7 linked regions of the Coturnix japonica genome follow. The protein of the gene in region 3 purifies or fractionates together with the protein of the main gene of each other region. This does not show direct contact. Links are inferred from orthologs where the notes say so. Each region holds a gene or a part of one and is shown on either strand. Other genes may lie near its edges.

What was found.
Region 1: the proteins of SINHCAF (region 3) and ARID4A purify together in Homo sapiens (affinity purification with mass spectrometry; 3 studies listed by BioGRID and IntAct, counting the BioPlex papers as one, with this or other methods). This does not show direct contact. The link is inferred for Coturnix japonica from reciprocal best matches to the Homo sapiens genes SINHCAF and ARID4A.
Region 2: the proteins of SINHCAF (region 3) and BRMS1L purify together in Homo sapiens (affinity purification with mass spectrometry; 3 studies listed by BioGRID and IntAct, counting the BioPlex papers as one, with this or other methods). This does not show direct contact. The link is inferred for Coturnix japonica from reciprocal best matches to the Homo sapiens genes SINHCAF and BRMS1L.
Region 4: the proteins of SINHCAF (region 3) and ARID4B purify together in Homo sapiens (affinity purification with mass spectrometry; 3 studies listed by BioGRID and IntAct, counting the BioPlex papers as one, with this or other methods). This does not show direct contact. The link is inferred for Coturnix japonica from reciprocal best matches to the Homo sapiens genes SINHCAF and ARID4B.
Region 5: the proteins of SINHCAF (region 3) and SAP130 purify together in Homo sapiens (affinity purification with mass spectrometry; 3 studies listed by BioGRID and IntAct, counting the BioPlex papers as one, with this or other methods). This does not show direct contact. The link is inferred for Coturnix japonica from reciprocal best matches to the Homo sapiens genes SINHCAF and SAP130.
Region 6: the proteins of SINHCAF (region 3) and ING2 purify together in Homo sapiens (affinity purification with mass spectrometry; 3 studies listed by BioGRID and IntAct, counting the BioPlex papers as one, with this or other methods). This does not show direct contact. The link is inferred for Coturnix japonica from reciprocal best matches to the Homo sapiens genes SINHCAF and ING2.
Region 7: the proteins of SINHCAF (region 3) and SIN3B purify together in Homo sapiens (affinity purification with mass spectrometry; 3 studies listed by BioGRID and IntAct, counting the BioPlex papers as one, with this or other methods). This does not show direct contact. The link is inferred for Coturnix japonica from reciprocal best matches to the Homo sapiens genes SINHCAF and SIN3B.

Annotation. Positions count from the first base shown.
Region 1 is NC_029520.1:50,228,777-50,232,276, forward strand, and holds part of ARID4A (AT-rich interactive domain-containing protein 4A), read right to left. Parts: intron 3,346-3,500; coding exon 3,266-3,345; intron 2,396-3,265; coding exon 2,319-2,395; intron 561-2,318; coding exon 394-560; intron 1-393.
Region 2 is NC_029520.1:32,955,584-32,959,083, reverse strand, and holds part of BRMS1L (breast cancer metastasis-suppressor 1-like protein), read right to left. Parts: intron 2,900-3,500; coding exon 2,860-2,899; intron 2,029-2,859; coding exon 1,902-2,028; intron 709-1,901; coding exon 585-708; 3' UTR 1-584. UniProt on the Homo sapiens protein: Involved in the histone deacetylase (HDAC1)-dependent transcriptional repression activity. When overexpressed in lung cancer cell line that lacks p53/TP53 expression, inhibits cell growth.
Region 3 is NC_029516.1:52,980,498-52,984,517, forward strand, and holds the start of SINHCAF (SIN3-HDAC complex-associated factor), read right to left. Parts: upstream 2,801-4,020; 5' UTR 2,652-2,800; exon of another isoform or gene 2,644-2,651; intron 1-2,643. UniProt on the Homo sapiens protein: Subunit of the Sin3 deacetylase complex (Sin3/HDAC), this subunit is important for the repression of genes encoding components of the TGF-beta signaling pathway.
Region 4 is NC_029518.1:34,320,297-34,323,796, forward strand, and holds part of ARID4B (AT-rich interactive domain-containing protein 4B), read left to right. Parts: intron 1-1,078; coding exon 1,079-2,287; intron 2,288-3,500. UniProt on the Homo sapiens protein: Acts as a transcriptional repressor. May function in the assembly and/or enzymatic activity of the Sin3A corepressor complex or in mediating interactions between the complex and other regulatory complexes.
Region 5 is NC_029524.1:1,643,929-1,647,428, reverse strand, and holds part of SAP130 (histone deacetylase complex subunit SAP130), read right to left. Parts: intron 2,593-3,500; coding exon 2,344-2,592; intron 2,216-2,343; coding exon 2,090-2,215; intron 1,263-2,089; coding exon 1,159-1,262; intron 922-1,158; coding exon of another isoform or gene 829-921; exon of another isoform or gene 789-828; intron 479-788; coding exon 365-478; exon of another isoform or gene 364-364; intron 151-363; coding exon 1-150. UniProt on the Homo sapiens protein: Acts as a transcriptional repressor. May function in the assembly and/or enzymatic activity of the mSin3A corepressor complex or in mediating interactions between the complex and other regulatory complexes.
Region 6 is NC_029519.1:35,244,523-35,248,719, forward strand, and holds the start of ING2 (inhibitor of growth protein 2), read right to left. Parts: upstream 2,801-4,197; 5' UTR 2,469-2,800; coding exon 2,270-2,468; intron 339-2,269; coding exon 1-338. UniProt on the Homo sapiens protein: Seems to be involved in p53/TP53 activation and p53/TP53-dependent apoptotic pathways, probably by enhancing acetylation of p53/TP53. Component of a mSin3A-like corepressor complex, which is probably involved in deacetylation of nucleosomal histones.
Region 7 is NC_029543.1:3,324,330-3,328,620, reverse strand, and holds the start of SIN3B (paired amphipathic helix protein Sin3b), read left to right. Parts: upstream 1-1,491; 5' UTR 1,492-1,574; intron 1,575-1,997; 5' UTR 1,998-2,081; coding exon 2,082-2,104; intron 2,105-2,606; coding exon 2,607-2,760; intron 2,761-3,433; coding exon 3,434-3,697; intron 3,698-4,030; coding exon 4,031-4,174; intron 4,175-4,291.

The sequences.
Region 1 (3,500 bases), on a different chromosome or scaffold from region 3:
TGGATGTTGTGTTGATATGATTTAGCTGGGAAGTATTGGTAATGGTTGGACTAGATGATCTTCTAGGTCTTTTCCAACCTTGATGATTCTGTGATTCTGTGAAGCTACTTTCTTACATGAACTACACGGGAAGCCCAAAAGAAAAGCACACAGCTATTTTCACACAATGCTGGATCACTCCTATTTGTCTCAGCATCCATTCACTCATTTCTTTCACCCAGATTCTTTCCATCACTGCCTTGAATTCTTTATTTCTGACTAGGAGCAAAGGGAGGATGCCCAGCTCTGAAAACACACTGAAGTTAAGACAGAGAACTTCATGAAGCAGAATACCTTTAGACACACACGTTATTCTATTATCTTTGAAGAATAACTGAAATTGCCCAGACTTACCAGTACTTCTTCATTTTTCTCTTCTCTTTTTATTTCCTCTTCATCAGTTTCTGCAGCAGCTCCATCTTCTTCATCACTGCTAGAGGATTCCATAATCTCACTTATGTCCATCTTCCAGTTCCGAGGGACAACCTTTGTGCTGAGAAACGTGCTTGCTTCCTGAAGCCCTACAGAAGAAAGGGCCCTCTTCATACCTCATCCCAAGTATTCAGAATCAGAAAGCATTTCTCAATTTCCTTTTCATAGCCTTATAAATTAACGAAGCAAACTTAAACCAAAATGATAGTAAGTGATGGAGTAGCTCTGTCTACATAGTATATACTTAAAGACAGGTTTTAAAAATCAAGTATCAGAAACTCGAGGAGCTTAGATTTGAGAACATCCATCTGTATTTTTCCCCCAGAGGGTGGTGACGTACTGGAACAGGTTGCCCAAGGAGGCTGTGGATGCCCCATCCCTGCAGGCATTCAAGGCCAGGCTGGATGTGGCTCTGGGCAGCCTGGGCTGCTGGTTGGTGACCCTGCACACAGCAGGGGGTTGGAACTACATGATCATTGTGGTCCTTTTCAACACAGACCATTCTATGATTCTATGGTATTTCCTAGACACGTGCCCTCCCGAACACTACTAAGCCTTATACCTATTTATTTACACAGTATCAAAGACCTTTACTTATCCACATTTTCTGTGCAGCTGTGAAGCTGTTTTGTTTCTGTATGAAAGTGGCAAATAGTGCAGGAAATCCACTTAAAAACAAACAAAAGCTCCAAGCCATCACAGTTCAGGTACCAGGAATTTCTTTGTTCTTTTCAAAAGATCTTCATGCCTCAGATTGTAAAAAAATAAAATGAAATAAACCAAAAAATAAAAGCACACCAATATTTTGTTAAAGAAAGCTGCCTAAGGAGATTCTGTTCCATTCATGTCTGGAACAGAAGCACTCTAATGAATAAGGGAGTGATGGTATGGGGAGAAGCCACATTCATACAATGGGAATACCTCGGATTCTTTTCCTTCAATAAAGAGGAATCAGATTACCCCAAAAGAGGGACGTACTGCAATGAGCCATTCACAGCATTGCAAGAGATGAAAAAGCACCAGAACCTAAGAACTGCTGGTAGAGTTCCTGTACTCTGAAATAATTAATAGGAACAAAGTACATGGGAAATATTAAATCAAAACCTCCTCAAGCTGTCTTACTTGCATTACGTTAAAACCCCACTTGTAAAGAAGCTGCTCTGCACCTTTAATCAAATAGAAGGACCTCTTGGTGGTGGTTTTTCTCTTGTATATTTGTTTTTCAAGTAAATGTTTGAAAATTTCTCCTTTAAAAATGATGTGTTTTAACTGGGATGATCAACTAAAAGTTGAACATCTACATTAAAGTGAGAAACTGGCCTTCCACAAGCTCAGGAAAAACATGAATACCACAGACACATCATCCATCCATTCAGAAAATCTACCTCTGTAATTAGACTCTTCAATCAAGCATTATTTCAGGCTATTGACATCAGCTATTCTATTAAAGGTTACAATTCCACGTCTGGGTACTTTTCATTTAAAGACAAAACGTGTTCCAACCATAGCATAAAGCAGTGGTTTTAGGAGAGGTAGCTTTATATGCCATTGTTCAATGATATTTCAAAGACTGTACCTCCAAAATCACCTTTTGAATTTGAATAAATTTAAAGTGGAATGAAAGAAGGAAACAAAACCAAATAAGCAACACTTCTATTAGTTGCCTTGTCATTAATAGGGCAGTTGTATCCAAAGTTTCTCTAATTTATCACATTTAAAGCTGTTTGCAGAATAGATGGCCAGCAGCATTCACTTCAAACCAATACGCAGCTGTTAATTTGGAAAAGCTAATATTGCTGCTGTATGAAACTGCATTTTCAAAACACCCACAATTTACTCAAATTTACCTTTTTTAGGGGAGGGTTCTGACTTTGGTAAGTTTGGAGCATCGAGTTCTTTAATGTCTTTTCTTGCTACTGAATAACTGGAAAAAAAAAGTTCTGTTATTTTTCTAATACAGTAAAACAGGTATTTGACTCATACAAAGAGATTTCTAGTATTTCTTAATTTCAAGCTTCTTTCCAACAAGTAAATATGTAGGCTTTTGTTACCTGAAACGTGAAATAGACATGCCTGAGTCAACATTATGGGTATTGTATGTTTAATAAACTTGTGCACTTAGAAAGAAAGTGAGGAAGAAGAGTGCCAGGTGGCCTTAACCATGGATGTTTGTAGTTAGAGTATGCTGAGAGAGATGCACTAGAAGTGCATGAGAAAGAAGACAAATAAGGGGAAACAGCTTAGAAAAACAGACTTGGTATATTTTCAATATACTTTTCCTTAAGAAACACACATATCTCTCCCCCCAAATCCATTCACCCACTCAGTTTTTTCAAGGGGGGTATGGAGTCAGGAAATAACAGGTTAAAAGGACCTTTTTAATTAACTGTTTAATTAAAATAATTAATTTACATCCACTTTAAAAAAATTTAGAAGTAGATTAAACACTTATTAAACTCTGCTATTTAAACAGCAATGGACATCTCGGGCTCACAAGGTAATGGGTCAATCAGGTATGAAAACTACTGCCATTGACACGGATGACAGCTGTAATAGTTACGACATTAAGGATATTTCTTGACACTGAAACACACTTTACAGAACAGGAATGACCAGAAATTAACATCTGGTTGTTTGTTTTTTGAAGTTGCTGACTTCTTTTTCCTCTCTGAGACACCAAAGCCATAGTACAGATACAACACAAAGGGGGAGGGAGGGGGAGCACAAAGAAGAAATCAGTTGGAATTGAACTACAGAAGACAAAGGTTAAAATAAAAGGGAAGCTGTTACTTACAATTTGGAATCTGCAAAGGATCGGACTAAACACTGGTCCTTTTTCACTGTGACGTCATCGTTACAGCTGGGAGATACAACCTGAAGTTTCAAATAAAACACTGTTTTTTTCAAAGCAGAAAAGAAAATGAAACAGCTTATCTTGAAAGGAATGACAGCAGGAAAATAGCTGCTTCCTTGTTTCTTCCAGTATAATTTGGAGTTCTGAGAAAAGGAACATGCTCCTATTGATATTA
Region 2 (3,500 bases), on a different chromosome or scaffold from region 3:
TGCTCCTGAAAAGTTCTAACTTAAAATATTGGCTTTGTCTCATTAAAAACAATGTAGTAAACCTTACAAAATATAAGACAGTCAGAACTAGCAGAGCTGTCGAGGGCAATAATTTCAATAAATTGATCCACTTTGGATAAAATAATGCTTTATGCATGTTACAATCTATTCAAAAGCAACAGCTGAACAAGCTAAATTTTCATCCACAAGAGAAGCATGACGGTCACTGAAAACAAAGGGAGTTGCTGGTCATTGTGGGTGTTATTTTTATCAAACAAACTGGTCACCAATGAAAAAAAAAGAATTTTTTATTTTTTCCATTTTAAAAGATCAACATTTAATGAGAAATTCTGAGCCATTACATTTGAAGAGCATACTTCATATCGTAAGCACTGGACCCAATTTAGAGGTAAAATGTCAGTTAACATGATTTAACATCCTCAGGTTTCTGAAGGCCGTCCATATGAAGTTTACATACAGCGCTACAAATACACATCAGATACTGCTGTAAATTTATGAGGAATACAAAACGCTATTAAATACAACTTTCATCCCATGGCACATCAAGCATGGCTTAGCAACAGTCAGTTGTGGTTATGCTTTATTGAATACTTTCCTTTCTGTAGCTGAGAAATATACAGCTTGGATTTGCTTCCATCCGGTCTTTTGAACCAAACTTCATCATGGTTAATTGTTGTAATTATGGCACTACAGAAAATGAGGGAAGAAGGGCCAGGGAAAGAAAAATAAGAATCATTTAGCAAAGTTAAAGAATAAATAACATCAAAAACTGCAGCTGTAATGTAAATGAAAACACATAGTAGGTATAACCGCTAGGCTCAGAAAGTACTGACTCCATTGTAAGGATGGTTTTGGCACCATTTTTTAATAACTGTGTATATTTCTAGTAAAGACAGTTGAATTTTCAGACAGTTATTTTTATTTCTTTTATGAGAAAATCATCACATCTACAAATACTTTAAACGTTACGAAGGACAGTCACTCAGAGTAATCAATAGACTACCCACAGTACACTAGAAAGCATTTCCAGAACATCCTTAAACTTATAAAACCCCAAGGTGTAGAACTAAAACAAAGCTCAAATAAACAAATGAATACAAGGAAGAAAGTGTTCAACTGTTAATCCCAGCACCAGGACCATGAAAAATAAAGCTAAAGCCTGACCTATTTAATTTAACCAAATCATTCTTACATGATCTTTGATTTCATGCTCCTTGTGGTAAACTCCAACACAAATACTGGGGAAAAAACCCAAACCTTAAAATGTTTCTTCCAAACAGAACTGGTGCCAAACATAGCTCAAAAACAGATTAAAACAGTGGAAGCAGAGGACAGACTCTATCAGGGTCCTCTATTACAGGACAAGGGGAAATTGCTTCAAACCAAAAGAGGAAGGATTTAGACTGAATAAAAGAAAAAGTTTTTTATAACAACTGTAGTGAAGTAATGGCACAGGCTGCCCAGAGAGGCTGTGGATGATCCATCCTTGAAGGCATTCAAGCCCAGGCTGGATTGGGCCATGGATAACCTGGCCTAGTGGATAGCAACTCTGTCACAGCAGAGGGTTTTGATCTAGTTTATCTTCAAGACTCCTTCCACAAGCAACAGCAAAAAGTAGTTTTCCATGATTAAATATTTTACAGCTGGCCAACAGATCAAAGTCTCAGCAAGAAAATTCCCAAACACAACCCTTAAATCACAGGCTGTCCAGAAATTGGTTAAGAGCTTCAATCCTTTAATAAAATCCCATCCTAAAGCGAATTACCTTCGGTAAAATTCAACCTTCACAAGGATGAATTTATTTCCAATTTATTCTTCAAGGCCACCACGTTGCCTTTTGCTTAACAGGACTATAGAGAACTGAATAAAATAATACTCACCTTGTAGGACATTCATCTTTCTTATCAATGTATATCGTCTGTCCACGTCCATACCACTCTCCATCATAATACAGTCTTCCTTCTTCAGATCTAGCACTATGTAGATGCTTCTCTAGTTTGACAGGTGCTAAAACAGTCAAATTTAATATCAGTTGGCAGAAGTCGGTAAGATTTAGAAATAAACATCCAGTAAATTATTTATACACCACATATGCAATTTTTACATTGTCATAGGTAGTCTCTCTCTAGATAGTTAGCTCCAAATGCAAGAAAATTAGAAGCATTATATTTATTTCTTTCCAGTCAGATAAATTAAAAGCTGCATTTCCATTTTAAGTTCTCTTTCATACAACCCTCCAATCTATGATGTGAAATTTCACAATTAGAATAATGCAACAAGACACATAATCCGAAATCTCTTCATCAGTGCATTATGCCCGAATGCAAGCAGTAACTGACCACTGAAGAAACCACTTGTCTTCTCTCCCTTTTCATCATTACTCACTACCTCCAAGCACTTGATTTTACCTAGCATTAATATGCTTCTAACCTCAGACCATGTTATCATTTACCACTCCTTTTCCATATATGTTTTTTCAGAGCTACAACTTGCAGTGAATGCAACGTGTGTTCAGAATGCTCTCTTAAAATTCAGATGATTTCAGCTTTCTGCCTCATTTTATGAAAATATTGGCATAATATACCAATATTCACTAGTAAAGCCCACTCTTAGAAGTCTTGATTTTTTAATTAATTTTTACAATTCATGCAGCAATGACAATCACCAATCCAGCTGCAATTATCAACAACTCAGAGCAGGGATAGACATATTCCAATTAGCTCACCCTACCCTGTGTTCAGCATACCAAGGCTAAAATAAATATAGCCTGCTTCAATGCAGTTTGCATCACTGTATATTGCAAGCTCTGTCTTGTGAAATCAGACAACATTTACTTACGTTCTGGCTTTACTCTGTGTGGCCCCAATGTAGCCATTGCCTAGAAACAAAAGAAAATGAAGACAGTCAGCAGACATTTTTTTCTTAATTGCCAGCTCAAATTGTTTTGCACAGCACAGCTCAAGACATTTGTTTTTATGTGCAGCATTAATGTTATGTGATACTGATGACACTATGAAATGCGTGCAAACTTTGAGTACTTTTTGGGGGAAAAAGCAAACGTTACTTTATTAATATGAACTGCTTGGTTACACTTGCTTTTAACTATTTGGGGAGGGGAGGAAAAATGACATTCTCTAATGAGTTTTGACTTTACTAATTTCAAGTTTCCTAAATAAAATTCTCAAAAATGGCCATTATTCTATTAAAAAAAACAAAACAAAACAAACAAACAAAAAAAACCAACACAAAATGACAATAATTCTGGTTCTGAAAAACTAAGTGCTATCTGAACAACACACCCTCCAGATTATTAAGTTATACCCACAAGCAGACAATTCACGTGAGTGAAAAGCTGTGAATCATATGCAGCAAAGTAGATTTTTAATTCTTTTTTGTTGTTGCTATTTCTTTAAATCATGTTACATTACAGCAAAGAAACTGAGTGAAAGCTATTTTTAATCTGTGCCTCCAATGAGACA
Region 3 (4,020 bases):
TCAGCTCAATCAGTGAGCCAACTCTTACACCAGCCCTGTCTGCAACTACTGTAGCGCAGCAGTGAGATCTCAGCAGAACTGATGCAACTGGCAGAGACTCCCAGACCACACTGAAATTAAACCAGACATCGCTTTTCCTTGTTCAAGACTCCCACAGTGCTCAAGCTGGGTCACAGCCACCCCGAGTGGAACTGTCAGTAGCCGAGCTGTAGAGGAGCCTGCTGACCTGCTGATCTCCTATGGGAAACACAAACCCAATCCATTTACACAAAGAAAAAGGAGTGAAAGGCCGAGGTATTTGGGCGTTCCTGCACGCTGCTCTGAGGCTACCGCTCCAGAAGGGATAGGCCAAAGCATGAAAACAGTAATCAGTAAGATTTGCATAAGGAAAAAAAGAAATCCTAAACCTGTCCCACCTGCAGACGTTCCACTTCCAAAGAGGACTTTCCCCCCCCGAAACTCCTATTGCAAAACTAAAACCACGCTCAGCCTAAGCAGGAGCCCTGTAAGAAAAACCTGTGCTGCTCAATGAGTTCTGTCTGTGATGCTTATCTGGGTGCACTGCAGCTGTTAAGACGCTGCCAGCAACCACCTGCTGCTGGAACAGCATCACGGACACTCGGATCACAAGACGCTGAACAGGTTTGATTATCATTCTCCTGTAAGGTAAGAATGTCTGATGAGGACTGCAAGAGAAATAGCAGAGGGATAGGGTGAAGCGCCTTCACTGAGACACTTGTACGTCTTTAAGCGGTACCAGCAGTCATTTCATGCGGACTTTGGACAGAGCACATCCTACAGAAATTCACAAGCTCATGAAATGGAGCCCCACCCCTACGTTCTGCTGGGCCACTGCTCCCAGCGTCTGCTTCCTTCTGCTGGACAGCCCCGGCACACAGTGGGCTTAGAAACGGAGCCGCATCCATCGCTCACCACAAAGATTTAAGAGAAGCTGCGTTGAGAAACAGTGCAAAGCGCTTTAGTGACACAGTTGTTTCACATAAGCGAGGCAAACCACCGCAGCTCTAACGCTGTTTATTGTGATCCGGGTGAACGTTCCCACACTCTTAACATCTTTCTCCTAAGCAGAGAGCAGTGCTTGCTTCTGACAGAGCTGCACACAGACACCGGCTTCCAGGGATCCAGGGAGTGGAGCAGGGAGGAACTTCTCCCACGGGCTGAGAAGCTCAGCGCCTGCTTCCTGCAGGAGCACAGCAAGCCCAGAGGTGTGTCTGAATACCCCACAGCTGCAGCGATAGCACAGCCCGGAACGCTCGGCTGCCCCCAAGGACTTCTTTACTAGGAGAGTGGTTAGGTCCTGGAACAGGCTGCCCAGGGAGGTTGTGGATGCCCCGTCCTTGGAGGTGTTCAAGACCAGGTTGGACGGGGCTCTGGGCAACCTGATCTAGTAAAGGTGTATGTTTGGTGGCCCTGCCAGGCAGGGGGGTTGGAACTACATGATCCTTGAGGTCCCTTCCAACCCGGGTCATTCTGTGACTCGCCGGCACAAAGCCGTCCCGAGCAGCGCCCGCTCCGAGGCTCGTGTCATCCCTCTCGTATAAGAACATCGCGGACCACACAGCGAGCCGGAGCCGCAGAGAAGGGGCTTTCCGCAGCACGTGCGGGGCTGACAGCCCCACCTCGGGCGGCGAGCACGTGGTGTCCGTGCCCGAGCGCACGGCTCAGCCTCAGCCGGCACCTCCGCAGTCCCGACACGCGGCACCGCCGGAATTTTCGGGGGTCCGAACGACGCGGGCCCCGGGAGCCGCGCCGAGCCCTTTAAATCCCGCCGCCCCGCTCACTCGCGCGAAAGGAAACGGCGACTCAGTGCTGGCGTGAGGAGCAGAGCGGAGCCGGGTCGGACGACGGACAGGATGAAGGAGCCGACGGCGCCGAACCCTCCCGCGGCGGCGTGCTCGCACCGCGTGGCACCGCGCGGGGCAGCGCCGCGCTCCGGCCGCGAACAAAGGCCCCCCCGGTCGGGCAGCCGGCCGACCTACTTTCCGCCGCCCGGGGCCAGGTGGGGCGGCCCCCGACCCGCTGCCGCTGCCGCTGCCCTCGCACGGGCCGCACGGGGCACGTTGTGCCGGCCGCCCCCCGGCCGTGCCGCTGGCGGCGCCCCCTCCCCACCCCCGTGCGGTGCGCGCGGGTTCCTCGTGGCTCGGCCCTGACGTAATTCAAACATGGCAACAGTTGCACTTCAAAGCGCGGCGCGGGGCTCCGGGACCCGCGGGGAGGAGCTGGGGGGGACGGCGGCACCGCACGGAGCGGCCGAAGTTTCGCCTCTCCCCGAAAGTCGCCCCCGCCCCCCGCTCCACGCGCTCCGAGCCCCGGCCCGCCCGCGGCACACGGCGGCCCTTTGTTTTCCCCTTGGCCGGGCCGAGCTCCGTGCCAACGGGATTCCGCCCCAGCAGCGCGTGTCAGGGCCCCCGAGCCACAGGTGTGAGCGGCCGCACCTGCACCCAGCACCGCCGGGCTCCGCTCACTGAGCGCAAACCAACGTGCCGGGGAGCAGAGTTCAAAACAGAGGAGAAAAATAAAAAGAAAACAGCAAGAAAAAAGCACGACCACAAACTCCCAACATTAAAGTCTCCCGCCGCCTCCCGGCCGCACTTTTCTCCCCTCCATCCCGCAGGTACCGACCGACTCACCGCTGTCCCGCAGCCCAGCCCCGCTCGGCGCCGCCTCGTTCCGCGCTGTGCCCCGTGGGCGCTGCTCCCGCCGCCCTCCGTCCCGTCCCGCAGCTCCTCCAGCCCGTCCGGCCGCCCCGCAGCGCTCCGCTCCGCCGCCCCCTCCCGCGCTCCGCTCGGCCCCGCCCCTCCTCCCGGCTCCCGCGCTGTGCGCACGCGCGGTTCCCACGGCTCCATTCTCAACAATCGCGCCGTCTCGTTCGCGCGCCCCATTGTCCTTTTAAGGCAGAAAGGCGCGGGAAGCCCGGCACGGAGGGGGCGTTTCCCGCGTGACGTCACGTTCCCGCCCCGCGGTGGGCGTTTCCCGCCACCTGCCGCCCCGCGTTGGGGGCGGGGCCTGTTTGGCGCGTCCCTCCCGTAGCGCGGGAGCTTTGGGGTGCCGCCATCCCTGAGTCTTTGAGTCTTTAGGGTCTGAATTTACCCTTAAAGGCCGCCCGGTCCAACCCCCCCGCAGTGAACGGGGACACCCGCAGGTAGATCAGGTTCATCCATGTTATGAATGCTGACACACAAGCTCTAGCACGGGCAAAGTAGGGCATTGGTCAGCTCCGACATCTGATCCTATTGTGTTCCGCTCCAATATTAATGAATAAACAAACACAAACAGGCTCCTTGTTGGGAGGTGAACAGCAGCTGTCAAAACCAAACCCCGGCAGCTGTTCCCGCTTCAGTCTTGCAAGGCATAAATGCTCACAGGGCTGGGATTTTAAAGTAAATATATCAACAAAGCAGCAGAAGTATCCGTGTTATGATTTAGGCAAGTGAACAGCGACAGCAAAGCTTGATGATGCTGAGGACAGGTACGAGGTTCTGCTGTGCTGCCTGGGTGCTCAGTGCAGCGCTGAAGGTGTGAGAGTCACTGACAACAGAAACTGCCTCTCACCTAGGAAGCAAGCAGAGCATTTGCACCTCAGCCTGCCTAATAATAATAGAGCTTAGCAGAGAATAATAACCTTTCTGAGGAGCTTTTAATTGGTGTGTCAGATTCCTTTGGAGGAGCATAATTCTCTCAGATTCTTCAGGGTTTGCTCAAATTCTATAACCACACAAAAAAAAGCCAAAATATTTTATATTACTGCTTAAAAACCTTTAGTGCAGCTTCAAAGGTGCTTCTCATTTCTTTGCGGCGCTGTTGCTTTCATCCTTATTAAAGCCAATAAGGCCATTCGATGTGGATTTGTATTAAGGCGATTTGAAGACACCATTAAGAAGATCAGCCCTCTGCCTGCCAGGCTGTTTCCTGTCAAAAAACTCATCTCTTCTTACGCTGCCTTTTGAGGCACTTGAAAAACTGGAGGCCGAGTGGAAATCTACCCCTGAGATCTGGAGG
Region 4 (3,500 bases), on a different chromosome or scaffold from region 3:
AATAACAGTTACCATAATCTTAAGCTTTGTTTCCTTAGGAAAACAGAAACAAAAAAGCAATTAGTTGTGTTCAATGTGATGTTGTTACAATTACTCTATAATCAGCTTTTCCTTAGGAAAACATTACTTGATGCTTTTTAATTGTGCGCTATTCTTTTTGCTTTTCAGTCCACATAGATTCATGCTGTAGGTTTAAACAACTTTTTTTTTCCCTGAAGGATGAAATGCTGTATTTTGTTACTGTATTTTCCCACAATTTTAGAGCTGTTTGTTCAAAATTTACTTATCTTTTTTTCCTAAACTGGGATGAACGATGCTTATTTATTTATTTATTTATTTATTTATTTATTTATTTGGCTTTCCTTTGAAGGGCACAGCAGACTAAACAGGTTGAGAGAAAAAATGTTATTTTATTAGCAGAGTTCTTTCGATTTCATTTGACATGGTGGTTTTTCACATCTCATGTATTCATACTAGCAATGTAGTTTTGGTCCACTATGGTGTGAGAGAGAAAAGTATTTTAAGTTCATTTTTTGTGTGCCAGACTTCAGAACTTTGAGCCATAATGTCTACCATAAATTTTCAATTGGAAAATGCAAACAAAAATGGAAGTGTGTTGTCAAACTTGTTTTCAAATTGGATCTTAAGGTAGAGATTAAGATCCTGCATATCTTAAAAGAAGTTGAGAAAATAACATTTCCCAAGATATTTTGTTCTGTATCTCTCATCTGTCTGCCTGTATGCTCTTCTTGTATTTCAACAAGACTTCTTAAAGAAAAAATAATAATAAAAATGCGAGAGGTAATGAGAGCTGATAATTATGATATGAATAAAGCATTTTATCGTGCAAAAGCTGATATTAAACAACAGTGTTGTTTAAGTGAAGGCCGTAGCCCACTATGCTTCCTGGAGATATACAATGTAATTTAGTACAATTTATAAATGCAATTTAAATATGTACTACTAGAAATTCCTGTAGCGTGTGATCATATCTATATGGTTTTCTTTATTTTTATTTTTTAGTATTTTTAACCAAGATCAATGCCAACTTTCTCATTTTAATTTTATTTTTAATTAGCTTCTGAAAGTTCTGATGATAGTGAGCAAGAAGATGACCAAAGTGCCCAGAACATAGATGCTGATGGCAAAGAGGAATCTCAGCACGAAGCCATGAGCCAAGATAAAAATGAGTTGTGTCTAAAAGAAGAACAGGACAGTTCATCCCTCCCAGAGGAAACTAAAGCTTTGACAGATACAGTGGTGCCCAAGTCAGGATCCAAGTCTCCTGAAAGGTTGCGAAAAGAGATGGAAGAGTTATCTGAAGATACTGACTCTGATGGAGAAGATGAAGCCACAAAAAAGAAAAAGGATGTAAAAAAGGAGGTTGGGGATAAAACAGCAAAACCACAAGTAAAACGTGGTAAACGAAGGTACTGTGTTGCTGAGGAATCTTTAAAGACTGTGTCGCCTAACAGAAAGGACGAGAAGTCCAAAAACAAAGATTCCCTTAGTTTAGAAAACAGCAGCAACAGCTCTTCGGATGAAGAAGAGGAAGACAAATCTAAGCTGAAAATCACTCCCACTAAAAAGTACAATGGATTAGAGGAGAAAAGAAAGTCTTTACGGACAAGTACTTTCTACTCAGGATTTTCTGAAGTGGCAGAGAAAAGGATAAAGCTTCTAAATAACTCTGATGAAAGACTTCAGAACACCAGAGCAAAGGATCGAAAAGATGTCTGGTCGAGTATTCAGGGACAGTGGCCGAAGAAAACGCTGAAGGAATTGTTCTCGGACTCTGACACTGAAGCTGCTGCCTCCCCTCCACATGCTGCTCCAGAGGATGCTGCAGCAGAGGAGCAGCTTCAGACTCTTCCAGAGGAAGACATTTCTTTGCCTAGCTCTGAACTTGAAAAACCTTTGCCGTCTAGTGTGGACGTTAAACCTGTTGAGGAAAAAACAGCTGAAATGGGTGAAAAGAAAGTTGAATTTCCAAGTAGCGGCAGTAATTCAGTGCTAAATACTCCTCCTACAACTCCTGAATCGCCTTCATCTGTAACTGTAACAGACAGCAGACATCAGTCTAGCGTTGCTGTCTCTGAGACCTTGCCACCAAATCAAGAAGAGATAAGAAGCATTAAAAGTGAAACCGATAGCACAATAGAAGTAGACAGTGTAGCAGGGGAGCTGCAAGACCTCCAGTCTGAGGGAAATATTTCTCCAACGGGTTTTGATGCCAGCGTCAGCTCCAGTAGTAGTAATCAACCAGAGCCAGAGCATACTGAAAAAGGTAAAGGAAAACAGAAACAGAGGTGTCTTCAACCTAACATATCCTGGTGGTTTTTTTTTTGTTTGTTTGTTTTTTTCTGCATTGTAGATGTATTTTCATTGTTATGGTTACACATCTTTAGAAATGGCATAATCACCTATTGAATAAAAGATAATCTGCCAAGAAGCTTCTTGGCCTTTCAGAAAAAAATTTGCAGTAGTTTTAATGAGGAATAAACTATATAAGAATAAAGTTTATACCAGAGGTGGCAATAAAAGCCTGGAATGAACTGTAGTACTTTGTGTAGGGAAAATTTACTAGCAAGCTGAATGCATTTAAAAATACCTTGCTTGCAAGTAGATTGTATTGTTTCTCAGCGTTAGAGGATCAATTTTTTTTCTGCTTATTGGGGAGAAGAATAAGGCCAGTAATTGCATGCATAGGCAGCCAGCTCAAGCTTCTTTAATAGAAAACAACGAAAAGTAACAAGGCAAACAAATAAGAAAAACAAAGTATTCTGATCACAGGTCTTGACGTGATTATCAATATTTCAGATACGATTTTGCAGACTGAAGTTCACAACTTGAGAGCACTAGAATACAGGCCTTAAACACTGTTTATGCTTGTATGTGTAATGTCAATATTCTGTTCTTTTAACTATTTGCTAGACTGGATCCAAAAGCTTTTTTGTGGCATGCAGTGGCTGTTTCACAGCTACTTCTAAGAACCATTCACCTGCCTGAAAGTAACTAATGAAAAGGAAAAGGTGTCTGAATATAAACCTTAATACAGAAATGATTCATTCATCTCCACAGATTTCATTTCTCAGTTGTATAAAAAAATATATTTTTTTTCAAACAAATGTATTGGAATAAGATTTTATTAAAAAAAAAATGTGTGCATGTATATGTGTTAATATATATGTATGCATATATTTATGTTTATATATATATATAGTGTGTGTATATATATATATATATATAATACTATATAATATATATTCGTATACGCGGAGTGTATAAATTCCATGTGGTTCCAGAAAACTTCTGTTAATGCATTGAACGGAGTTACTTGCAGCCATCTGATGTGCACACTAACCAACAAGCCATTTTCCATCTTCCTTTACCTCCTCTTTTCAATCCAAGTAGAAAGGTGAGCCGTATTAAGTGCATACAGGAACAGCTGGTTACATTACTGTTGAGGCTTAAGCTCTGAAGCGTTTTCCTGAGATTTT
Region 5 (3,500 bases), on a different chromosome or scaffold from region 3:
CTCCTTCCGCTTTAATTTGGATACTTTCTTGACAGTTCCGTTCTTGTTCAGAAGCTTCAGAACACGATCCTTGTGATCCAACACCTTCAGCATCGAGTCTCTCGCCTCGTTGATTTGATCCATCACGAGTTTACATCTCTGCATATTGCCCTGAAATAAAACGTTATCGTCACCAACAGCAGAATAAACAGTCACAACAAACACCTTTACTGTATAAAGCCCCCACTAACCAATGACGCAGGAGAAGCACCTTTATTATTGTGTTATTTTTAAAGCCAGATTCAGCACTTACTTGGAAAACATCCTGCTGCAATTACTAAAGGTAGAAGAGTTCTTCTGAGCTTAGGGGCCAGTAGGAGCCTACCTGTATCAGCTCATTGATTCGATGCAGGTCATCGTCAGTTGCTGCCTTCTTCTTAGGAATGAGCCCCTCCTGTAAGGCCGTCAGTCTCTCATACACGTCACGCTCCAGGTTTGTCTACAAGACAACAGCACTTCATGAGCAGGTTCACCACCGGGCCCATAAAACATCTGCCCACATTATGAAATCTACACAGAGAAGACAATCGTCTGTTCCCCTCTCAGCTGCTCATGTTAGTCATTCAGAAGATGGAGCCTCTGATGCTGAGTGTGGCATTATTGTTCTTACTAAACATCCTATTCACAGCATTGCTCCACTTCTGAACAAACATGGAACCTAGCCAGAACTGTTTCCCCTGTCTCTCACAATACTATTCCAGGAATGCAGAGGTTTTGGGGAGTTTGGTGCTAGAATGCAGAGCACCTACCTCACCCCCAACCTGAAACAGAAGCATCCAGGAATGTGGATCAGTGCTGCCTCCTCAGATCAGCCGCACCATCCCAAACAGACGCTTCTTCAGACCTGTGCATCAGCAGGAGGGAGTTGCCAATTTTGATCATCTGTACAAAATACATCAGCTCTTATGTCTGGATCAAAACCAACACTAAGTTTCCAAGCCACTTAACGCCACATTCCTGAGAAAGGGGAAAAGCGTGTCCCACTCCCTTTGGGCGCTACACACCAGCTTATGGCATCCCTGCATCAGGTGAGCATGTACTGAGTTTGTGATAACATCCTGCCTTACAGAGCTCCGTGTTCCCCGCGGTACAGGCAGCCGGCACGTCCCATGCACCTACCAACTGCAGCAGCTGCGCCGCACACAGATGGACCTTCCACCCTTGTGCACGGCAGGATACACCCTTCTGACTGGCAATCTCCTGCAGCATGGCTTTCTTCTCTTCTGTCACCAAAAAACACAAATAGAGGTTCAAGTTTCAGGAGTCCACCAGGCCTCTGTTCTCAAACAAAAGCTTTAACCCAGCTCCTGCTTTCCACACATCCTGCTTAAGGAAGAGTCAGCAACACTTTGATTGGGACAGGAACATAACGACTCATCTGCCACGTTACCTGAAGGCTGCTCTCACCCCCCAATGGCTCATCTGCATTTTCAGATCATTTTTTATTGTTTGCAATGTTGATTTTCCCTTTCTTCCTCTAAAACGAGGTGTTGCTTCCAACACTGTACATGAAGAAGCAAGCAGTCCATCTCACACTGCTGCAATACCTATCTGCTCCTTCCTACCAGCCACAAAGTCCAAATCACAGAACCTGATCTCAGTTTTCCTCTTACTATCAGAAACATCCCATAGAAACGCACCAGGCCCATCTGTTAGCTCACGAGACTCATTAAATAGGGAACGCTTTTGATTACATTGGCAGCACTGTTAGGTAGTAAGGCAATCTGAGTGCCAAGCCATAGCCTACCGCTATATAATCTATTTAGGAATTTCTTTAGGCAGTTTCTATCCTTGTACATAAATACATTTCTCAGTAACATAACATTTTCGGTTAACCAGACAGTTAGAATTGTATCTGACTCTATAGAAGATCCTCCCCTTTTCTTCTCAGTCTTGAGAGAGAAAAGATCTAAGCAACATCTAGCTAACTAAGTCATTAGCTCACGTGAGTGACCAACGCTTGTGTTCCATACTGTGAGCAAAGCCTGCTTGTGGGGCAGCTTATCATCATCATCATCAGCCCATGCAGCTCCTCAGGCAGCACACTGACCTTTCACTCTGACGTCGCTGTATCTCTGGAAGTGGTGGTAGGCGGCTTTCCAAGGATTGCGGTAGTGGCGGAGCAATGTGATGGGAGGCCTGGGACGCACCGGGACATACCTCACACCTTCCTCATCTACAAAAGGGATCACAGACAGCTGTGTTACTATTGTGACATGGGAGACCAGCACGGCAGCAATCGTGACAGGCAACAGGTAAAACACAGATGTTCAAGTAGGAGAAGAGTGTCAGAGATGGCATTACCTATATATTCCTTGGGAGGAGACTTGCGCTTCTCTGCCTTCACCAGCAAGCTTTTGGCAGTAGATTTCTCATCATCAGTGCTGTTTGTTTCCATCATGTCTCCCTCCTCTGTGGAGATGACGTGCTGCTGCTTACGGGGTTTTTTCCTTGGGGAGGCACCAGGCGGCAAATCACTTGGAGGCATCGAAAGGTTGTTGGCCAGCAGTGCCAAAGATGGAGAGACAGTACTTGTAGTCAATGGAGGGACTGCTGGAAGGAGAGAAAGGAGAAGAACCTCAACTACCAGTGGCACAGAGGTAGCAGTACTGTGTTTTAACACCATCTCCTCTCAGTGCGTTGTGAGAAACATGGGCTCCACCACAGATGCAGTTCATCCCTTAGTATATGAGAACCAGGACTCATCACTAGGACAATGCCTGTATTCTAAGATCCTCAGAACAAAAAATGACAAGAGACTGTTCTCACTCAGTTCCTTCACCTTCAAGGCTTGCAGCAGTTGAATGCTATTGAAAAGGAACCTGTGCTAATATCTCTCACATGGTCAGTAAAGAAAACATCTTTGAATTGATGTTTCACCACAGATCACAATCAAAAACAGGCAAGTCCCCTCTTCAGTGCAGGTAGAGGCAGATGTAGTCAAACCATGACTGCAGTGCTCTCCTTGTCAGTGCACTTATACTGCCAAGTCAACAGCCAGTGTCAGCAGGCTGCTGTACAAACCAACAGACTGCTGGAGCTTGGCAGCACAGCAGCGGGAGCCTGAGGGGAAAATAACCCTTTACATTTGCAGGGACTGAACCAAGCGTGCCACGTAATACACAGCAAATGTCTGGGATGAAATCTCAATTGAGATTAACTGCACTGGTTTGTATTATACTGGCTCTGCTGCTGACTGTGTTCTAAGCATGCAATTCATACACTCTTTGCAACTGGACTGTTTGAAAATGAAGAAAGCAGCTCCAACCCCAAGTGGTTTCCACAGGAGATCAAGGAGAACAAGGCAAATTAGAACCTAGAGATGCTCACCTAGTTGCTGTTCTGCGGTTCTTAGTACCTGAGACAGGAACCCTCTCAGACGCTGCAATGCCCTTTCCTTCTAGGAGTTACTAACTTGTGTCAGCTTAACCTGAATCGTTGCTTTCCATTTTATTTACTGG
Region 6 (4,197 bases), on a different chromosome or scaffold from region 3:
GATCCCGTTTGCTATGTGGCACAGGTCGCGGCTTTCACTGGTCCGCTGCCGACGGGGTCTACGTGAAGATCTCTCCGGCTGGCAGGACTCCATCTTTGCCTTTTCTAGAGGCTTGTCGTTCTCAGACAGGTCTTGAAAACACTGAGAGTGAGTTTCCATCTGTCGGGCTCTGTTCTCTACCAGTTCCAGCATCTGAGTAACTATCTGAATTTTTTCATCTCCCAGTTCTTGACTGTTGATTAAAGCACGCTGGAGATGCTGCTGCAGGCGTTTCTTCTGAACGGGATCGTTCTCAGACTTGTATTTTTCATAGACATCGTCTATTTCTTTTAAAGCTTCTACAAAACAAACACAGTACGAATAATTACACGAGATAGAAGGTACATATCTGTATTTTGTTGAGCACGTTCAAACGGACGTGAAACAGTACAAGTTTTAATTACAGTATACCCCAGTGGGCTACATCAGGTATTTAATTCAAGTTACACCTGAGCATCAAGTCAGTGTTTAAGGTGGTAATCCACTGCATAAAAAGCTTCTCAAGTTCTAAGAAAAAGCAAGATGCTTTTGAGCACTGGATAAAGGGAAGGGTAAGCCCAGAAAGGTGAACGCTGCTGCCAAAGCCAGAATGGTCCAAATTCTGACTCAGCATCTGACAAAGCAGGATTTTTTTGCTGAGGTTCCATATTAGAGTAGTTACAAAGCCCTGGCCTACAAACCAAAGCTTCTCATACCATAGGAAGAATCTCAGAATTCACTATAATCGTGTAACCATCACATTACAATCCAAAATTAGGATATGCAGGTCCTCTGCCTCCTCCTTTCTATACACGAGGGTTTAGCACTACCTTTTCAACAGCCCTTAGTTACAACAAAGTACCACAGTGGAAGCTACATATTAACAGATGTACAATCAGGATCTAAGACAACTTAAACCACTCCAAGTGGTGCTGGTTGTACCAAGAAGTTACATCCAGTTGTGTGTTACATTGAGGCAGAACTTGTCCTCCACATTTTCCCTTTTGATGGATTTTAAAATACTATTTTCCAGACGGAAAGCGACACTACATCTACACAAGAAAGACAGAGGAACTGCTGAAGCAGAAGGAACTAAATCAGTGGAGCTGACAGCGAGATGTGACGGGGTGCTCGATACAGCACCGATCCCTTCACAACTAACTTACAGGTCTGTAACGGGTAAGCGAATTTATGAACGATACTCAACTGATTCCACAACCAGAATGGACACGGAACAATCTCTCATCCTGCACAGCTCTGTTTATAGGCTGCCTTTCATTTTTAAATTAAACGCTTTGTGCAGTTTTAGAATGATTCAAGCTCGCGCTAAATGGAAGCCACGGTTATTATCTCAGCGTTGCTCACAGTGATTTCTTTTCCTGCTGACATCCTGAAACAGCACCTTAAGAGGGAACGGTCACTTTTTACTATAAATACTGAAATCTGTATGGAAACAGTAACCAGCAGCACTTTGTTCTACTGCAGACCTTCACCAGAGGAAGATGAAGTCAGTGCTCTGCCCATCTAATAACTCACAGTGCCAGTACTCCAGCTGTCACTGAAAACACAGGTTTCGCTTTCCTACAGCTTTCAGCTGCATCTGTTGCCTTGACAGGATAAAATATTTGCTCTGAGAAGTGCCGAGTAAGGCACTCTGTAGTCTGAACAACTAGAAAGACTAGAAAATGTGTAGTGACAGAGCGACAGGTTCACTGAAGTACTTCCTTATTAACCCCTTATTAATTAGAGGAGGTACCCGTGTCCAGCTAGACAGCTTTAAAACCTCTGCTTAAAAAGGAGGCTAAGAAAAACAGACCAGGACCAAGCGTCCATTACAGTTCATCTGCTTGAGTTTGGTGGAGCTGAGAAAAGAGAGTTCCAACGCTGTCAGCACGGAGCAGCTGTGCAAATCCTGCAGGCACCAGCACTCCATCCTGACCGCCCCGTGTGCCCCCGGCGGGCACGGCCCCCATGGCGGGGCGGAGCACAGGGCTCGTAACGGCCCCGCAGCCCCGGGCACACCTCGTGCTCACAGGCGACAGCCCTGCCTGCTCGGCGCTTCCCCTTCCACCCCCCGCCGGATTTCAAGCTGAGCGGGGAGGCCGGGGCCTAACGCCGCAGCCCGGAGCCCCGCGCCCAGCGCATGTGCGGCGGGCGGCCGCCTCCCCCCCACCCCGCGCCGCCCTCCCCTCCCCTCCGGTCGGTCCCTCCCTCCCGCTGCCCCGCGGAGGAGGCCGAGCCCCGGACCCACCTTGGCAGCGGGTGTCCACCTCCCGCAGCAGCGACACGTTGCGCTGGATGTCCAGCGGCAGCGACTCCACGCACTCCAGGTATTCCTGCACGTACAGCGACAGCAGCCGGGCCCGCTCCCCGCCCGGCGCCGCCGGCCCCGCCACCAGCTGCGGCCCCGCCAGCATCATCCCCCCGCTGCAGCCGCTCCAGCCGCACATCCACCGCCGGCACCGGCTCACGGGGCAGCCCCCGCCCGGCCCGCTCCGCTCTGCCGCCTCCTGCCGCCTGCCGCCCCTCTACCCGCGAGCGGCCGGACCGCTCAATGCCGCGGGACCGGCGCACCGCCGGGCCGGACCGACCCACCCGGACCGAGCCGCCCGCCTCGGGTCCCGCTCAGCGCCCGGCGGAACGGCCGCCGCCACAGCGAAACCCACTTGGAGCCCCCGCCCCTGGTCGCCTGGCTACGCGCATGCGCGAGGCCCTGCCCTTATAAGGCGCGGCTAGAGGCGCCGCCAGGGGTTCGCATTCTCCCGCCTTCCCCTCTCGCGCGCTCCTATTGGCCCGAAGGGCGGGGGGGCGGGATATAGCGCAGGGGCGGAGCCTCCCTTAAAGGCACACGCACCCTGCTCCTCCCCCCGCTGACGGCCGGGCGCCGACTCCGCGGGGAGCGTGGCGGGGCCGCTCCCTGCCGGGGGCACCTGCCGTGGCGGCGGGCGCACGGACGGCCGTGAGGCGGAGGATCGCCCCAGGTGCCCCGGCAGCGCCGCGTGTGGGCGGGCGGCGGTTGTGGGGGCGTTGGAGGCGCGGATCCGTTCGTCAGCCGGCTGCTCTCAGCCTTGGCTCTCGGCTCGTGCTGCCCGGCTGTCCCGGCACGGCGCTATGCCGAGGTGTGGAGTAATGGCCCGAGTCAGCAGCGTGGAAAGGAACGGAAACAGGGGGGTGGGCAGAGCTAGCGGAGGGTCGGAACGTGAAGGGCAGCGATGAGTCTGAATGGTCGCGGTTCTGTGAGGAAACAGAGCTGAGAAACAGATTCCTGCCATGCAGCGTAGGAGTAAAGCAAGATACAGCGTTAATTACAGACTGTGTGCTGCAGCCTGATAGCCCCGTGACACAGCTGCACCTATCAGGTAGATCCAGACTGCAGGCTATTAATTAAGACTGTTAAGAGTTAATTACCAGGACGCATTCAAGAATTTCTCAACACGCCGAGTTACTCTATGCTGATGTAACACCTAGTGCCACAGTTAATTACTGCTGTGCTATGAAAAACATCTTGAAGGATAGTGAATAAAGCCATGAGATAATTGAGTTCACGCGTTTGAAATGACACCAGTCACCTGATGGAAGCCTGGCTTAAGGAATTCGTAACACTGTCACGTGTGAGGATGTTTTCCTTCCCACGCAGGGAAATAAAGGTGGGAGTAACTCACTGCAATTCTTGCCCTAAAAATGTCTCCACTGACTACAAGGGAGCGCAGGTCTATTGTCACAGATGTCGGCAAATTGAATTCCATTCCGTATGCTGAAATGGGGTAATTAGGCGCCTACAGTTACCAGCTACGGATGTGCCATTTGTTATAGACTCGGTAAGGATTTGGGTTAGACTTGTCAAAATAAGGGCAGCATCTCCGCGCACACCATGTACCTGCATTGACGCTGGCCTCACACAGCTTTGGATGCAGCCTTTCACTCTTGGCGGAGCAGCCGACGCGGATAAAGTTGAGCCACAAAACGGGATGGCCTGAGAGTGAGCCCCGTTCTGTTGGTGCTGCGGCCCGGCTGCCGGGTCGCTCGGCACTACCTGCGTGTCTGTGCCCGTGACGATGGCCCGCCCCGCGCTCACCCGCTCGGCCCGGAGGCGTCTCGGCGGCGTCACGTGGGCTGCGGGGCGGGGCGGGCGCCCGCGGCGCGTGGCACTCTCTGCCTGCGGTCCGGGGACTTTCCCCT
Region 7 (4,291 bases), on a different chromosome or scaffold from region 3:
GGGTAGAACACTGTAATGCTATAATAACAAGTTAGCAAAGACTTGAATGCAGCAAATAAGAATGAGCTTGAATGCAGCGACCATAAATTCAGAAACTGAAGAAAATAACTGCTTACCTTTGGAAGGCCTCAAGTAAGCAGGGATCTCCAACCAGAGATACCCTCACCTCCACAGCCAACCCTTCAATGAGGGCTGGGAAGGGGTGGATCCTGGCTCCACCCCTCCATCACTCAGCAGCACTGCTTGCACCTGAGCTCCCTGGGTTGGCCCTGCCTTCCCACCAGGTGTTCCAACACTGTTTCAGGCCATGACATAGCATTTCCACTACAAATATCAAAGCCAAAAGCTGAAATCCCAGCACTACAGCTCTCAGCAAAGGGTTCAAATAGCAGTCAAGTTAATTGCAAATTCAACCCAAGGTCTCTATGAGACATCCCTATGGTGTCCTATGGAGAAACAGACAGCATAGCATACTGGTTTCCCTCTCTCTCATGTAGCAGTAGTGGTCCAATTCAACAGAGTTCAGTTGTCTGCTGGGAAAGGAAGCAGGGGACATGCATTAGGGGAAGCCCAAAGTTAGGGATGTACATTAAGCCCTTTGCTCTGTGCCTGGCCCCACAGGTGCCTTGCTGGTGGTGCAGCGCATGCACAGCACTGCTTGTAGGATCATTCCCCAATGCAGATGGGTTTGTGGCCACCACGAGGCTGGGTCGCATCATTTGTGAGAGGTTCTGTCGTCCCACAAGAGCCTCTTCTCAGCACACCACCACCACAGCTCTGTGCAACGACATCAGAGGGAGGGACAGGAGGAAGTGCAGCACACAGCAGTGTGACCAAGGAAACCCTTCTGGGAGCCTGATCTGGACCGACACGCTGTCCCACATCTGCTCGGTGCTGTAAAAGCCAAGATGAATAACCTGAAACAGCACAAACAGCCGCTCCCCTCCCATCTCATCTCATCCCATCCCATCTTATCTCATCCTGCTTCAGAACGATGTGGTTGAGTAGCCCTGCAGGTCCCCTCGCCTTCACAGCACGAGCCACCGCTGCCACGTACCACAGAACGAGCGTGTAAGATCAGCGAATAAGCAACAATAAATAAAGACGGTGTTTGATCCACAAATGCCACAACGGGCGCTGGAGCTCAGTTTGTGCCCTTTAATCGCGGCCCAATAGGAGCGGCCACCGCGAGGGCCCCGGGCTCCCGTACAACGTCCGTCCGTCCGTCCGTCCGCCACCCGCCGCTGCCCGTAGCGGTCCCGCATTGCTCACCCCGCGCAGCCCCGTCCCTCCCTCGTCCCGCTCAGGTTTCCCCGCCGCTCCCGCCGGTGCCGCTGGAAGGGCCGGAAGCGTCGCGCGGTGCGGGCGGTTCCGCTCCGGGCCGGGCCGGGCCGTGGCGCCGTGCGCGCTGACGCAGACGCTCCGCACGCGCTGACGGGGGGCGCGCGGCGGCGGCGGCTCCGACTCCCAACATGGCGGCGGGGGGCGGCGGCGGCGGCCGGGGGGGCAGCGCCCCGCGATGGGGCGGCGGCGGCGGCGGCCGGGCCGCGGCGCAGGAGAAGCTGCCGGTGCATGTGAGTGCGGAGCGCGGCCCCCCGGGATTCGTCCCCATCCTCGCGGAGGGCGGCGGGGAGCGGCCCTGCCCGCCCCGCCGTGACCCGCCCCGCCCCGGTCCGGCGCCGAACCCGCCCCCGGGGCCGCGGGGCGCCCCTCTGCTCCCACAGCCCGGGGCGCCCCCGCCTTCCCCCCCCCCACACTCGGCCCCGTTCCCCACCCCCGTTACCGCGGCCTTCCCCCACCATCCTCCCGTCCCCTGATCCCCCCCTCGGTCCCACAGTTTCGGTGCCCTCAGCCCCGCTCCGGTATCGCGGCGTTCCCCCGGGGTCTGTTCCGTCTCACCGGCGCTCTCAGCGCGGTGGGGGTGTCAGCCGAGGCCTCTGCAGCGCCCCGGGCCTGTGCGCCCCCTCCCCGGGGCCTCAGTAGCATCCCGCCCACAGGTGGAGGATGCGCTCTCCTACCTGGACCAGGTGAAGATCCGCTTCGGCAGTGACCCCGCCACCTACAACGGCTTCCTGGAGATCATGAAGGAGTTCAAAAGCCAGAGGTAAAGCCCGGCCCGGGCTGCCCCGGGGCTGTCTCAACCTTGGGGGCTTCCTCAGCCTTCACCCCATGGTTCCCCTGTCCTTGCTGGCCCAGTTGTTCCACGCTGGAGGTGATGGAGGAGGTGTCCATCCCAGTGCCGTCTGCTTCCTTGTTTTCCAGAGCAGAAATCCATGGGAAAAGAACAGTGTGTTTTTACATCCTGCTCTGAAACGCAGATTTGGAAAAACAGATGAAGAATTTTAAGAGTATTGCTGAGAGCTCTCAGTCTTTGTGTGGTGCCCATATTGGGTAACCTGCATGTTCTTCTCTATGGAGAATGTTCCCAGTGGGTGGCTGCAGTGGATGCTGCTCCTTCCCTCTGCCTGGGCTCACTCCTAGGTCTGAAGATTCCAGACTTGTTTTTGATGAGAATGGCATCTGGCTTCTCACCTACCTCTGTAGTTTTTTGGCCTTAAGTTGTATTTCTGACATAACACAAGTAACAAAATTCTTCTCAATTTTAGCATCGACACACCCGGAGTCATCCGACGCGTCTCACAGCTGTTCCACGAACACCCCGACCTCATTGTAGGATTCAATGCTTTTCTCCCTCTGGGATACAGAATAGAAATTCCAAAGAATGGGAAGTTAAGTATACAGTCACCGCTGACAAGTCAGGTAGGTTATAAAGCTCACAGTACTCCAAATAAATCCTATTAATATATTGCTTCGCACATCTCTTGCGCTGTTTAGGCTATGTACGTTTGCATGTATTGCACATTGCAAAAGTTCTGACCTAGTTTTTAAGATGTGGTAAGGGCTACAATGTAAAACTGAAATACATCTTGTGTGTGATGGTTGGGTACACATTGGCCTCTCCTTTTTTCTTGTTACTGTGCAGCTGTGGAGGCCGAAATAGAGTTCTTACTGAATTCTGCTGATAAAGTTGTGGTTTAATGCTGATTAGTAGCAGTATGTATCTTTCAGATCTTTCTGTTGCTCAGGAGTTTAATGTTTCTTAAAACTGACATAGAACAGTGGTAACAGGAACTGCAGCACACATTACCTGGTACAGCCTCACAAGTGTGGATAATGCAGGGACAGTCAAAAGCAGCAGTGAGTCAGACTGTTTACCAAGTCAGATATGGCTTATGGGTTTGTTTGTTTTTAACTCGTGGTGTTAATAACACAGGGAAGAAAATGTATTAGCAAATTAAATCTTTTTTCCCCCCCACATTTATTTCTTCATGTGGTAATCTGTTTTAGCTAAACATTTAAAATATCAATGCTAGGATGTAGTTGCACCTGTGTTTCAACACGAGTCACTGTCTTGTATGTCTTATGCCACTAGGTGCCCTCAGAGCCTGTTCCCAGCGCCCTCCCTGGCAGCGGGCTGTTGTTGCATTACTCACAGGAGAATTCGCACAACCACAGTGACTGTACTGAGGAGTTTAGGCACCAGCTTCCGTACAAAGAAGATAAATCCCAAATCCCTTTGGAGTCCGATTCTGTAGAGTTCAATAATGCCATTAGCTACGTGAATAAGATCAAAACGCGCTTCCTTGACCACCCAGAAATTTACAGATCCTTTTTAGAAATTCTTCATACTTATCAGGTAAAAAGCCTTCAATGTAAGATAGATTATGGGTTTGTGGTGTGGCTGCTTGAACAGCTATCAAATGAGACATCAGGCTTTGTGCAACAACTGCCTCATAGATATTCATATGAAATGACAGAAGTGTGAAAACTGTCGAACCTCCTGGGCTCTGAGATGCAGAGGGGTTGTACGTGGATCTGTCTTCAATAACCTTCAGCTGATGTAGTGATAACCTGTGGGATAGGAGCCTTGGACTGTCTAATAGTTATATGAAGTTTATGTTGTGTTTTTATTTTGGCTGCTGTGAGTCGTGTGTTTGTATCTGTTTAACATCTGTGTGTATCTTTTCAGAAAGAACAGCTTAACACTAAAGGTCGACCCTTTCGGGGCATGTCAGAGGAAGAAGTATTTACTGAAGTAGCAAATCTGTTCAGAGGCCAGGAGGATCTCCTCTCTGAGTTTGGACAGTTTCTTCCAGAGGCTAAAAGGTCTTTGGTATGTGTATGCTTAAAGCAAGGCAGAATATTTAATGCTGCCTGTTCATATGTAGAATGCATTATGGAAAGACTCACAACCTGTAGATGAAATTCACTTCTCTTCACTGCTTGGAAT